Callithrix jacchus: one gene and its partners. The protein of the gene in region 3 purifies or fractionates together with the protein of the main gene of each other region. This does not show direct contact. Links are inferred from orthologs where the notes say so. Each region holds a gene or a part of one and is shown on either strand. Other genes may lie near its edges.

Region 1 (4,079 bases), on a different chromosome or scaffold from region 3:
CCTGCTGCCTAGAGCACCCTCCCCGGCCCCACTCCCTTAGCAAGTCCTGGGCGTTCCCTGGGGCCTAGCTCACTCCTCACCAGAAGCCTCCATGCAGCTCCCGCTGCTTCCTCTCAGCTCAGCCATTCACACGGATGACATAATCGAGGCCTTCCTTACCGTAATTCTGCTTTACTAGTGTTTGGTGTTCATCTTGCCTTCCCAACCAGGTAGCAAGTGCCCTGGGGCTGACTTAGCTGCTCCCTCCAAGCACACGGTCCAGTACCCACCAATCCCTGGGCCAAAGGGAACAGACACTCAGAGCCACCCAGGAAAACCATCACCAAAAACCCAGCTCGTGGTCCCACCCCCAAACACAGCACTTGAACTTCTCCCCTTATGAAGAAAACACACACATACCCCCTCTCCCTCCTCTCAGCCTCTAAAAGAAAACATTTTTCACCTAATCAATATGGTCCATCAGCCCCGGATGTTTCCCCACACCAGGCAATTCCCGGTCATGTTCTTCAAGTTCTTTTGCTAAACATTATCCAACCTCAAACAAGGGGCGAGGCCCAGAGCCTTTTCCCGTTCTTTCCTCTCTTGGAAAGATCCCTCCACTTCGTGTCTTACCAGCCTCTGCCAGCTTCCTACCATGGTCTCCTCCGATCCCCAGGCCCTCCCCCCAACCCCCTTCTCCAGCCTTCTGCAGACGCTCCCAGTCCTACCACCTTCCCCAGGCTCTGCTTCTGAGTGGCTACCACACATCATCCTCTCTACAAGCCCACTAGTCCTTTCCCAAGCCTCCTCTCTGTTCCCACAGCCTCCCCTTGATCCTTTCAGGACCCCCCATCAGCGCAGATCTCACTCCCCACCTCCCACCCCCTGCCAAACCCTCCCCAGCTCCCTTCTACTTCCTCTGCCCAGAGTCTCATGTGCCTCTCCACCCTATTAAGTCCTCCTGGGTCCCTCTTGTGTTTTATTTCAGCTCCTCTTAGCAAACTCATGCTTCTCCATCTCTCCCTCTTCTGACCCCTCCCAGACCTCTCCGCTCACACTAACTTTGAACCCCTCATCCCTCTGCACGCTCCAAATCTGTTCCTTCTGGAAAGTCACATTAACAACAGCTAACATGTTCAGAGACGTTAACTCCATGCCAGGCTCAATCCTAATACAGCAAATCGCAGGTAGGTTTGGTTCGAGGTCTCCTTTAATGGGGAGACTGAACAATTTACCCAAGGTCATGAAGTGGCAGAGCCACATTTCAAACCTGGCCTCTTGACACTCCTAAGCCACTAGAATTTCTCAGAGGATGGCTGTGTCGCTTTTAGGAGCGAATGCGAGTTTTATGCCATGCCATATGCATTAGTTCTGTCTCCCAAGCCTCTTCCCATCCGTCTTCTCACCATGTCCCTGTCATCATCATCACCATTACTTGAGGATCACACAGCAGGCCTCTGATCCCCCGTTTTGGTTCTTTCTGTCCCTCTGTCTCGCCCTGTTACCCCTCCATCTCCTTGGCCAAGCCACCACCATGTGTTCCCCCACCCAGGAGTCTTTAGCCTCAACCCAGGCCTCCTCAGTCTTTTTGTTTTTCTTTGACATGGAGTCAGTCTCGTACTGTCACGCAGGCTGGAGTGCAACGGTGTGATGTCGGTTCACTGCAACCTCTGCCGTCTGGGTTCAAGTGATTCTCCTGCATCAGCCTCCCGAGTAGCTGGGATAACAGGCACCAGCCACCAGGCCCAGCTAGTTTTTGTATTTTTAGCAGAGAAGGGTTTTCACTACGTTGGTCAGGCTGGTCTCCAACTCCTGACCTCAGTGATTTGCCCACCTCGGCTTCCCAAAGTATTGGGACCTCCTCACTCTTGGCTCCATCATGCGGGTTCCCTGGTTCAGCTGTCTTTAGTCACTGCTAACCAGGGCCGGACTCAACCTAGGCACCCCCCAACACACACTTCAGATGTGTTTCACCACTCCTAGGATCACCAAATTCCCGAGACCCTCCGTCTGGTGTCAGCCTCCTTCAGCCATCACCCTTACTGCCCAGGACCCCCCACAAATCCACTGCCCTGGGGGACTGGAAAGGTCAGTCCCTCGGGCAGGGCGTCCTCAGTCCCAGGACCCATCACGCCGCCTGAGAGCCTTCAGACAGATGCCCCTAGAGCTCCGAAAGGCCTCCGACCTGCCTACTCTCCCGGATTCCCTCCGTCCCCCCCAGGCCAGTCCCCTCCAAAGCTTCAGGACGTATTCCCTCGGTCCAGGTTCTCCCTCGGCCCCCTGGCCTGTCTTTGGCCTGAGTCCCCTTTCTCGCCTCAAGACAGTGTCGCCTTGGCCCGTGTGTCCTCAGCCCATGTCCCTTCCGCCATGTCAGACCGTCTCTCTTCAAACCGTGTTGCCCCGGCCCGAGCCCTTGGCCCTCAGTCTGTGTCCCCTCTGCCGCCTCAGACCATATCACCTCATTCCAGGTTCCTCTCCGTCCCCTCGGCCCGAGCCCTGCGTGCCTAACCCGCCGCCTCCGGCCGTGACTCCTTCGTCCTCTCACCCTAGGTCCCGGCCGACCCCTGAGCCCGGTTCTCACCCAAAGAGGCCGGAGAAGAAGGACTGCGAGTTCTTCACTTTGCGCTCCGCCTCGGCCAACAGCGCCATCGCCTCCGCTTCCTTCCCGGAATTGTCCATGGCGACTACAAAGAGACTCAACAAGGCGCTCAACCCCGACCCTGGGAGGACTCAGCCGCGGCCGGGCCGCGGAAAACAGGTCGGGAAAGCTCGACCTGCTGCGTTGACGTCGCACCGGTGCGCGCTGCTGCAGCCCGGAACCACGTGACTCGCGCTGGCCAACCAGCGGCCTCGTAGCGCGGCGCCCGCTCCGGCGACCACGCCCCAACCTGCCGCACGCCGCCAGTGACTCAAGACCCCCCAATTGGCGTCCCGAGACCTCAACGCATGCGCACACACCCGCGAACGGTGCCCCTGCGGAAGGCAACGGCGGAAGGCAATGGCAGTTCGCACCGCCGAGGCCCCGCCCCACGGTGCTGAAGCTGAATCCTCCTTCACCAATCAGCAGAAGCCCTCGACTCGCGTTGTGCGCCCCCCGCCGCGGAAGTCCGGCGCAGTCAGCTGACCGCGGACACTCACGTGACAGCTCGGGGTCCACGCCCGGATTTGACGGCTCTGCGCAGAGCTTAGTCCCGCCCCCTCGGTTAGTTTCGCGGGTTTCTTCACTGGGAAAGCCGTTTGGAGGAAAAGGAAACAGGACTACTTTTTTTTTTTGCTCCCTCTCCCGGCCAATACTGGAACTGCTTCGGGGAGACCAGTGAAGTAGTTCAGAGACGGGAAACAAAAACTTTAGAGATCCTTTAACTCTCTGGCTTCAGAAAAAGTAGCTGAAGAGGGCCGGGCGCGGTGGGTCACGCCTGTAATCCCAGCACTTTGGGAGGCCGAGGCGGGCGGATCACTTCAGCCAGGCCAACATGTCAAAGCCCTGTCTCTACTAAAATACAAATAGGAGCCCAGCATGGTGGTGCACGCCTGTAATCCTGGCTACTCGGGAGGCTGAGGCAGGAGAATCACTTGAACTGTGGAGGCAGAGGTTGCAGTGAGCCGAGATCGCGCCACTGCGCTCTAACCTGGACGACAGAGTGAGACTTCGTCCCAAAAAATAAATAAATAGGCCAGGCGCGGGGGCTCAGGCCTATAATCCCAGCATTTTGGGAGTCCAAGGTGGGTGGATCACGAGGTTAGGAAATCGAGACTATCCTGGCTAATCACGGTGAAACCCCATCTCTACTAAAAATACAAAAAATTAGCTGGGCGTGGTGCTCAGGAGGCTGACGCAGGAGAGTCGTTTCAACCCGGGAGGCAAACGTTGCAGTGAACCGAGATCGTGCCACTGCACTCCAGCTTGGGAGACAGAGTGAGACTCTGCCTCACAAAACAAAAACAAAGAAGGGTTTTTACTTCCGGGACCTTCCAATCTAAGCATAAAAAAAACACTCTAGACAAATTCCAGTTGAGCCACATCCTCCAAAATATCTGCATAGTACTCCTCCAAACTGTTGGTGGCCGCGTTGTGTCACACCAATAATCCCAGTACTTTG
Region 2 (4,284 bases), on a different chromosome or scaffold from region 3:
GTGGTGGTCACCTGTAATCCCAGCTCCTCAGGAGGCTGAGGCAGGAGAATCTCTTGAACCCAGGAGGCGGAGATTGTAGTGAACCAAGATTGCGCCATTGCACTCCAGCCTGGGCAGCTGAGAGAGACTCCATCTCAAAACAAAAAAGAGATTTCCTATGATCTGGCTGTAACCTTTCTTCGAATACTATTATTGCCCAAGTACCCTGAATCCAGCCAGAGGAGATTCATGTTCTTTCCTTTTGTTTGCCTTTGCTCAAGCTAGTCCCTCAGCCTCAAATGCCCTCCTCATTTCTGCATACAATAAATATTTTCAGAGTGGTTAGTATATGCAAGACACTGTTAAGATGCTGCTGATTCTTGAAGGTCCTATTAGTAAGCTATTTTGTCCATGATCCCTTTTTGATCCTCCCCAGGGAAATAGTACTTTGTATCAATTGTAGCATGTATTCTACTTAATAATGTAGCTTGAAGTTAGATTAGTCCTCCCAACAGACCATGAGAGATATAGGAGATTTGAGGGCTGTGTCTTGCTTTTGTTTCTGTCACCCATATCTGTGCATGGTACATGGTAGATGCTCAATGACAGAATAAGTGAAAACATGATTTTAGGAAAAGAATGTACATGGGCGGACAGTCTCTTGGGACACAAAACTGGGTGGGATTCAGGATCCAGGAAAACAGAAGTATCAACTTGTTGAAGAAAAGAACGTCTCCTCGTTTGCGAGGAATAGCAGATAAGCTTGGGAGGATGGAAATGGGATAGCCTATGTGGAGATGCAGAAGTGTCCAAATCCCAGCCCCGGCTCAAATGCCACCCCTTCACTAAGTCTTTCCTAAATCTCCTCCTAGAGACCAGCTCAGCTCAATTTCTTTGGAATGTTTGGAATCTCCTGTAGAATGTTTATCTTGATATATAAAATTTATAGAAAGCCATTGGTTTGGAATGAACTCATGCACTAGGCCCAATAGACCAAACCAAAATAGTCACTCCTGCTGAAGTTCGAAGCCACAAAATTAAGCTGTTCATCTGACCTTTGGAGAAATCAGAAGAGAGGGAAAATAGCCATATCCCCATGATAAAGGAAGTCCCTTCTGCTTTAACCAATACAAGTAAAATAACTTTGAAACTTGTTCTTTGTTTCTGCTTTTTTCAGCCCTTTTCTGTCTATAAAAAAAAATCTCCTTTAGTCAGCTCGTCAGAATACTCATTCTATTTTACAGAATAAGGTGTTGCCCGGTGCTAGGATCGCAATAGCTAGTTAAGATCTATAACTACATTTCTTGTAATTTTGTCTTTTTATAGTATATATATCTTATTTCCTTTTCCAGACCAGAACCTCTCTGAGGGCAGGAGGAAACCGGTTTTCCCCACTTTACACACGACACAAAATAATCACTCATTCAATGTGGGTTTATTGGATGGATAAACAGGAACGGGGGGTAGAGGAGGCGGGAGAGTGAGTGGACAAATGCGAGACAGGAAAAGCATGCGCCAAGGAATCCAGTGGAGAGCGAAATCTTCAGAGCCAGGATTAAATAGTTTAAAGCGAAGCCAAGCAAGAACCTCCCGTCCCTCTAGGGCAGGGAAGACCAGGTGTCCCTACTCGCCTGCAACTTTGCTCTGAGGACTTCTAGTCAGTATCCCGCGACTGTCTTTCCTAATGCCTGACCGAATACTGAGGCTAGCCGTCAGCGAACACCTACACCTCCTTGGTCTTCACGTGAAACCGAGCCTGTGACCACACTTATCCTTCCATCGCCGGCCTCATTTCTCCTTCCTCTTCTCCGATCTCGCAACCACTGTTAGTATGGCGCGCGTGCGGGCAGCCCTGGCCGGCTGGGGAGGGAGGGTCCTGAGACCGGAAGCCGGAAGTGGGGCTGTGAGGACGTGTTCGAGGAAGCCAGAGCCGCATCCGTGGCCTGCGGGGCCGGCGACATGGATACCCTGTACCAGCAAACGCACAAGTGAGGGCCGCGTCGGGGAGCGGGCGGGGGCTAGGCGAGGCTAGGCCAGGTGAGGCCTGCTTCTGGAGCTGGGGCCTCGGACGTCCGCTGGGGCAGAAGAGGCCGAGTTTTTCTGCCAGGGCACTGCTGGGGATGCCTCCGAAGTACTTAATCCCTGGCGGGACGCCCAGATCAGCCGGTCCAGCCTGGGGCCTGGAGACGTGGGGCAGATGGCTTCTGGGGTCTGCAAGCCCGTGACTACCTACTGGGTAAACTGGGTGAGGGGAAAGTGGCACCTGCAGGTTATAAAACTTTGTCCGGCGCCTAGTCGGTGCTCCGGATTGGTAGAGCTCGAGAGGAGACATGGAGTAGGAGACACGGCCCCTGCCCGTAGGAGTGTACTGCTTAATTTGGAGAGTCAAGGCACGTACGGGAAAATATTTGTATTTTTACTTGATTTATACTAAAGACCACATTTTTATGGTACAAAGAAATTGCCGTCCACATAGCATTCACTATTACTTACTTGTTAATCATATCTGGTTACAGGTTATCGCTAAGGAAATCGAATTTTAGTTTAGCTTTTCACAACTTAAATAAATTCCTTGGTAGTGTCCTTTATTCGCATCGTCCTGCACTTTTGGAACTTGCTGAGATACGTAGTTGAGTATGGTAATGGGGCCATACTTACTCTATTTTGGGGGGACAGAATGTTATGATTTTTTTTTATTGTAAAATATACACAACATAAGATTTACTATTTTAACAATCTTTAAGTGTACAATTCAGTGACATTAAGTACATTCACAACTTATATCACTACGATCCATTTTCAGAAATTTTTCATCATTCCAAACTGTGGTTATTAATCAGGCACTTCATTTCTTCCTTCCAGAGCACCTAGTAACCTCTGTTCTACTTCTCTCTGTGAATTTACCTATTCTAGATACTTTATGTAAGTGGAGTCGTACAGAATTTCTCCTTTTGTATCTAGCTTATTTCACTTAATGTTTTCTGAGTTCATCTATCTTGTAGCCTGTTATCAGAATTTCATTCCATTTTATGACTGAATAGTTGTTGTATGTATCTACCACATTTTATTATCCATTCATCTGTTGATGGGCTATTGAGAATAATAACTGCTGTGAACGCTCATGTACAAGTTTTAGTTCCTCTTCTCAATTTTTTGAGGTATATACCTATCCTGTTAAGAATCCTATTAAGAACTTTCAAACTTATGCTGTAGTTTTGTTGATTAAAACACTTAAAATGACACTCCCAAGGCCTGGAAATGAAAGGCCCTGACCATTAGGAATAAGAGGATGATGATCGTCTTACGCTTTCATTTTCTAAGTTTATGGGTTTCTTTTATTTTGGCGATGAAGAGTTTCATTTGGGTGGCGAAAATACAGAACCTACTTTGTAATGACAATTTTCTTTTACACTGGGGAGCCCTATTCTCACATAAACATTATAGGAAGGGACTTAAACTAGCCTCTGAGTCATTTAGAAAAAGCATGAAGCAAAACTGTGTTCATGTTACTGAGAAAGGGCAGATCTTTTATAGTAGCAGGGCACAATGCGCATAGTAGTGCCTTGAAGTTAATCTGTTATGTATGGTCTTATCTAGTTAATTTAGCTAAAGGATGTTGCCAAGAAGGCCATGACCCATTTTATAGTCAAGAATAATTTTGTTTAGAGAGTCTTAGACTGTTACCTGTTTTCAGTGCAGATAATCACAGAGAAATCTTCGTAGCTTGGAAGAGGAATACTAAATGGTGCCCCAAACAAGGTGTGCGGAGTGTAGATAAACTCTGTAGGCCTCTAGCTCCAGCAACGCACCCTTGGACTCTAGCAGTTTGCCAGTTTTTTCTGTTAAGGATCAGTTTTAAGATAGTAAATATTTTAGGCTTTGTTGTCTATACAGTCTCGGTAGTGACTGCTCTGCTGTTTTATCGGGAAAACAGCCATACATAATATGTAAACTAATTGAGTACCTGTGTTCCAGTACAATTTATCAAAACAAGCTGCAGTGTAGCTTTCTTCATAATTATCAGGCTCTCTATTACCCTGACACTCATTCATTCAATGAATATTTATTGAGCACCTGCTATGTGCTATGTACTGTTCTCAGTGCTGGCAGCACAGCCGTGCCCTCGAGGAGTTTACCTTGTTTCATGCTGCAGTATCTTCTTTTTTCTCAAGTGCTGCGCTAGGAGTGGGAGTTCTGGTTCTAGACATCCTTGTTTTTCCTCATCCTTAGAGTGCTGTTATAGTGTGGGCTGGTTAAACTGTAACGCTCCTTTCAGTTCCATGATACAGAACTGGTGACTGAATT
Region 3 (4,296 bases):
CATTACATATATTTTTTCCTTTTAACTACATTTCATTCTTATGTCTTCCTACCATGTAAAGGAAGAATATATTTTAGGTAATTCAAATGATTAGTTTTGGTAAATATTAACTGATTTTCAAAAATGACAATTTCTACATTTTCTATCAGCAAGCCTTCATTAGGACAATTTTTAAACATGTTTCATTATAAAACATGCATTTTTTAATCAAACAAAGGACATAGATTAAAAGTTGTAATGGGATATCTAGCTATCATCTATTACTGAATCTCCATCTTTTATTTGTAATTGTCCCTGATTTTATCCTCATTTAATTCCATTGCTTTTAGAAAATGGCGTTTTAATTTTAACGAAGATTTTTTTTCCTATGGAAACCTTATTGAATAAGTCTTCCTTCTCAGGTTAATAACTCTCATTAAAAGTAGTTTTCATGTGTTTTATACAAAAACAACTTAATGCAGAGACTTGTGCCACTATTATGGTCAAGGTTAATAATGTCTTGGGAAACTATGAGAAAATACTAAATGATCAGAGATCACGTATTTGTGGAGTGGAGACGATTCCACTACCATACATATGGCAGCAACAACAAAACTGGAGATACCCAGTGGATTTTGATTACCTACTGTGTATCAGATTTTTCTTTCTCCGAAAACCATGATTACCGTATTCTCATGATAAATAATCCGGTGAGACAAAATGAAATTCTAGGATTAACCCTGATACCAGCAACATCTTCACTCGCCAACAAGCTTTTAAACCCCCAAACTGGCTCAATGCCTTGTGTAAGCAGTATTTCAATAACATTTGCGTAAGTTAAAAAAAAAAAAAAGTTAAGTGGGAGGGAATTTAGGGGTCCTTTGTTCCCTATAACAACTAAAAGTCTTGGTTCCTCAAATACAACAGATGCAGTAACAGTAACGGAACTATTCAGTGTCTCCTATGAGACCCCACGCTTTTCCTGGGCTGCTCCCATCTGAGCAGGAGTCTTACTCCAAGGAACCTGGTTTTCTCTCCTTTACTGGATACATGAGGTACAAAATCTGTTACTTCTGTGGATGTTGGATTACTTGTTTGTAAACTGAGAAACGTGGACAAAGTCTTCTCTAACTTTCCCTGCACTACCTCTGGAGGTAAGAGAGAGTACAAGGCTCAATCAGGAAAGTTATCCCAATCAACCTCTTGTGGGCCCGGAGGAGGAGATCTGTTAAGTTAAACTTGGTGGTCAATAAACTGAAAGCAGCGACCCGGAGGGCCGCGAGACAAGCAGCGGGGATGTTGGATAAGAAACCCAGAGTTAGAGCCGCAGCCGAAGCCGCCCCCTTTTCCGGAGCCCCGTCCGCTCCTGGAACCGGGTTCACACCACGCCACCTGCGACACGTTCTGCGTCAGTGAACTACATTTCCCAGAATGCCATTCAGGCTTCTTCCCAGGGCTCCAATGAGCGCCCTAGTGACGCCATCAGTCGGCTCGGTGTTTAGAATCTACAGCTGTCGTGGCGCTTTGCTGGAAGAAGTTGGTGTTCCGCGGGGCCCTGGTACTGAAGACGCGGTTCGGGTCACCCCTAGCTCTTTCCTACCCACCTAACCCCCCGCGCCCGCCTTTTTCCTCTCTCCTCTGGCAGGATGAGGCGCGCAGGCCTGGGTAAGAAGAGGGCCGAGGTTCGAAGTTCGGGGCCCTAGAACCGGCCATGCTGGGCGCGGGAGCGCGGGGGCGCGGGAGCAAATCGGAGCTATCTTTTGTTCTTGGCATTTGGTCCAAAAAGCAGGATCTTTAGAGGGTATCTTTTGGGCCTTGTCGAGTGGAAACACACCATTTGTCCCAGATCCTAGGAGTTTCCTTAAGTTTGAGTCAGATTCAAGTTTGGATGGTAGGCTAGAGAAAGCATTGGACTGGGGTGGGTGTGTACAGGTGACATCTCAGTGGTCGAGTGTTTTAGTGTTATTGACTGAGCTTGGTTATGGACACTGGTGTGTTTTACAAAGCCCGACTTCGGTTTCTGTTTCTCTACTGGCCCTGGATCTTTGTTTCTTCAGAAGCGGAATTTGAAGAGTGGGTAGTTGCACGCAAAGCACACTGATAATGGTCGTTAATCTGGTAACAGTGAGTTACAAAGGTAAATGTACGTGTCATTACTGTTAAAGGTCCTGGAACTGTAACATCTGGGTGAAAGGCGATTTCTTATCTGAACCTTGTGCCATGATTAAGGCAGTAGAATGTAGTAAGGTTTGGTATCTTAACATTTGATCTTGACCTTGGGGTTTAGGAAGCTGGCTCACCAGCAAGAATAAGTTAGGCACAAGGAATTTTAATGGTCCTCTATAGTAACATACAGCTATTAGAGCAGCGTTTTCTGGTTCTGAAGCTTTCTCTTAGGACAGTATTTTTTTTTCTAATAAGACTGCTACATTAGAGTGCTGTATACTTCAGAAAATAAATGAAACATTTGCAAAAAGATAATGTTATCTATCTCAGTCATTATAAGATTTAAAAAAAAAAAATTCCAAAAAGTGTCAGATATTTAAAGTCAATGAAAGTTGCCAATAACTATAGACTTGTTATCGATTAATAAATTGTAGTATGAGAAAGTTTTTTTTAATGAAGTTTTTATGACTACTTGGATCATAGAAAGAATGTAGGGCCAGGTACATTGAAGAGAAAAAAAAATAATTTTCAGCAAGTTTAGTTTTATATACCTAAATGTTTTTCTTGTTCATCATCATTAATGATAAAAAAGGATTTATTGTGTGCCTGAGTAAGCTCTAGGTTTACAGTTGTTTGCTGCCCTCTTTGTGCTCCCCAAAGCTTCCAGTCTAGGTGTGGAGTAGGAATATGTGCAAAGATAACTTATAGTACAAAGTAGTTGCTATATATCCAAATACCAGATAAGTTCTGCATATAAGTGATGGTCTCAGAGGCTTCAGATATAGATCACTGTATACTTTGTGGAGAAGATCCTTGTGTATCTTGTGGAGACTTAGGAATTTGAAGTAGACCTTGAATAATGGAGAGTGGGGGAAGTGAGTTCCAAATGGGAACTCAAAAAAGTAAGGGATTATGACTAAGCCAGTTTGGTTGAAGTAGGGGATGAAGGATCACACTGTGGAGATCTTTGCATGTGAGGCTGAAGAGTGGATTTCATGGCCAAAGAGTTTGGATTTCATCAGTAGGCCTCTAGGCCCTTTGGAGTATTTTTCTGTTGTAGTATGCCATGTTAAATTGCAGGAAAATGACTTGAGAAATGGTTCTCAGCCCCGGGAAGTTTTAAACTTATTGTTACCTGGACCTCAGCTCAGCCAGTTAAATTAGAATCTCACTAATTTAGAGCCCACTACCCCATACTCCTTTTTTTTTTTAAAGCGCTCTCCTGTGATTGAGAGGAGAGGTGATTACTTAGGTAACTGCTATTGCTATAATTTATATTGATGTGAAGTGACAAAGGCTTTTTTTACACATTTTTTTCTTTTCTTTTCCCTCCCTCCCTCCCTCCCTCCCTCTCTTCCTCCCTCCCTCCCTTCCTTCTTTTCTATCTTTTTTTTCTTTTCTTTCTTCTTTTTGAGACAGAGTCTCCCTCTGTTGCCCAGGCTGGAGTGCAGTGTTGCAATCGCAGCTCACTGCAGTCTCCACCTCCCAGGTTCAAGCAATTCTCCTGCCTCAGCCTCTCAAGTACTTGGGATTACAGGTGTGCACGACCACACCTGATTAATTTTTGTATTTTTTAGTAGACGGGGTTTCGCCATGTTGGTCAGGCTGGTCTCGAACTCCTGACCTCAGGTGATCCACCCACATTGGCCTCCCAAAGTGCTGGGTTTACAGACATGAGCCACTGCGCCTGCACTTCTTTTCATGTTTTTAAGTATCAATGTATATTGATCTGAAATTTTAAATTTGGGATTGTAGTGAATCTGATAGATATTCATAGGCAGAAGCTGTCACATTCATATGTGTCTCTAAATGGTTCTGTTAGCTTACTGATAGAACCTATCCAAAAGAAGAATCATTTTTCTAAACTAACAAAGGCTGTGTATGATCTTCAGTACCCGCTAGCTTTTTTACACCTTTCATAGCAGTATACCGCCAGAAGAGAAGTGGCTCTGTTCAGAATAGCAATTCTAGCATTTTATTTGTTTTTGTTTTTTTGTCCATTGTATTTGGGGTGGCTCATAATTTGAGAGAACATCAACTCTTTAATAGGAGAAATGTGCATTAACATATTTTTGTACAATAAACAAGAATTTCACTTTGAATAAATAGAACAGCATGGAAGCACTCTAAAATTAAGATAGGCAAAAGCAA

Evidence for each region. The genes of interacting proteins can lie anywhere in the genome.
Region 1: the proteins of BET1 (region 3) and NAPA purify together in Homo sapiens (affinity purification with mass spectrometry; 5 studies listed by BioGRID and IntAct, with this or other methods). This does not show direct contact. The link is inferred for Callithrix jacchus from reciprocal best matches to the Homo sapiens genes BET1 and NAPA.
Region 2: the proteins of BET1 (region 3) and GOSR2 purify together in Homo sapiens (affinity purification with mass spectrometry; 3 studies listed by BioGRID and IntAct, with this or other methods). This does not show direct contact. The link is inferred for Callithrix jacchus from reciprocal best matches to the Homo sapiens genes BET1 and GOSR2.

The regions. Positions count from the first base shown.
Region 1 is NC_133523.1:41,452,767-41,456,845, forward strand, and holds the start of NAPA (alpha-soluble NSF attachment protein), read right to left. Parts: upstream 2,810-4,079; 5' UTR 2,659-2,809; coding exon 2,561-2,658; intron 276-2,560; exon of another isoform or gene 160-275; intron 1-159. UniProt on the Homo sapiens protein: Required for vesicular transport between the endoplasmic reticulum and the Golgi apparatus. Together with GNA12 promotes CDH5 localization to plasma membrane.
Region 2 is NC_133506.1:86,055,960-86,060,243, reverse strand, and holds the start of GOSR2 (Golgi SNAP receptor complex member 2), read left to right. Parts: upstream 1-1,475; 5' UTR 1,476-1,810; coding exon 1,811-1,967; exon of another isoform or gene 1,968-2,215; intron 2,216-4,284. UniProt on the Homo sapiens protein: Involved in transport of proteins from the cis/medial-Golgi to the trans-Golgi network.
Region 3 is NC_133512.1:55,613,331-55,617,626, forward strand, and holds the start of BET1 (BET1 homolog), read left to right. Parts: upstream 1-1,431; 5' UTR 1,432-1,440; coding exon 1,441-1,537; exon of another isoform or gene 1,538-1,625; coding exon of another isoform or gene 1,626-1,644; intron 1,645-4,296. UniProt on the Homo sapiens protein: Required for vesicular transport from the ER to the Golgi complex. Functions as a SNARE involved in the docking process of ER-derived vesicles with the cis-Golgi membrane.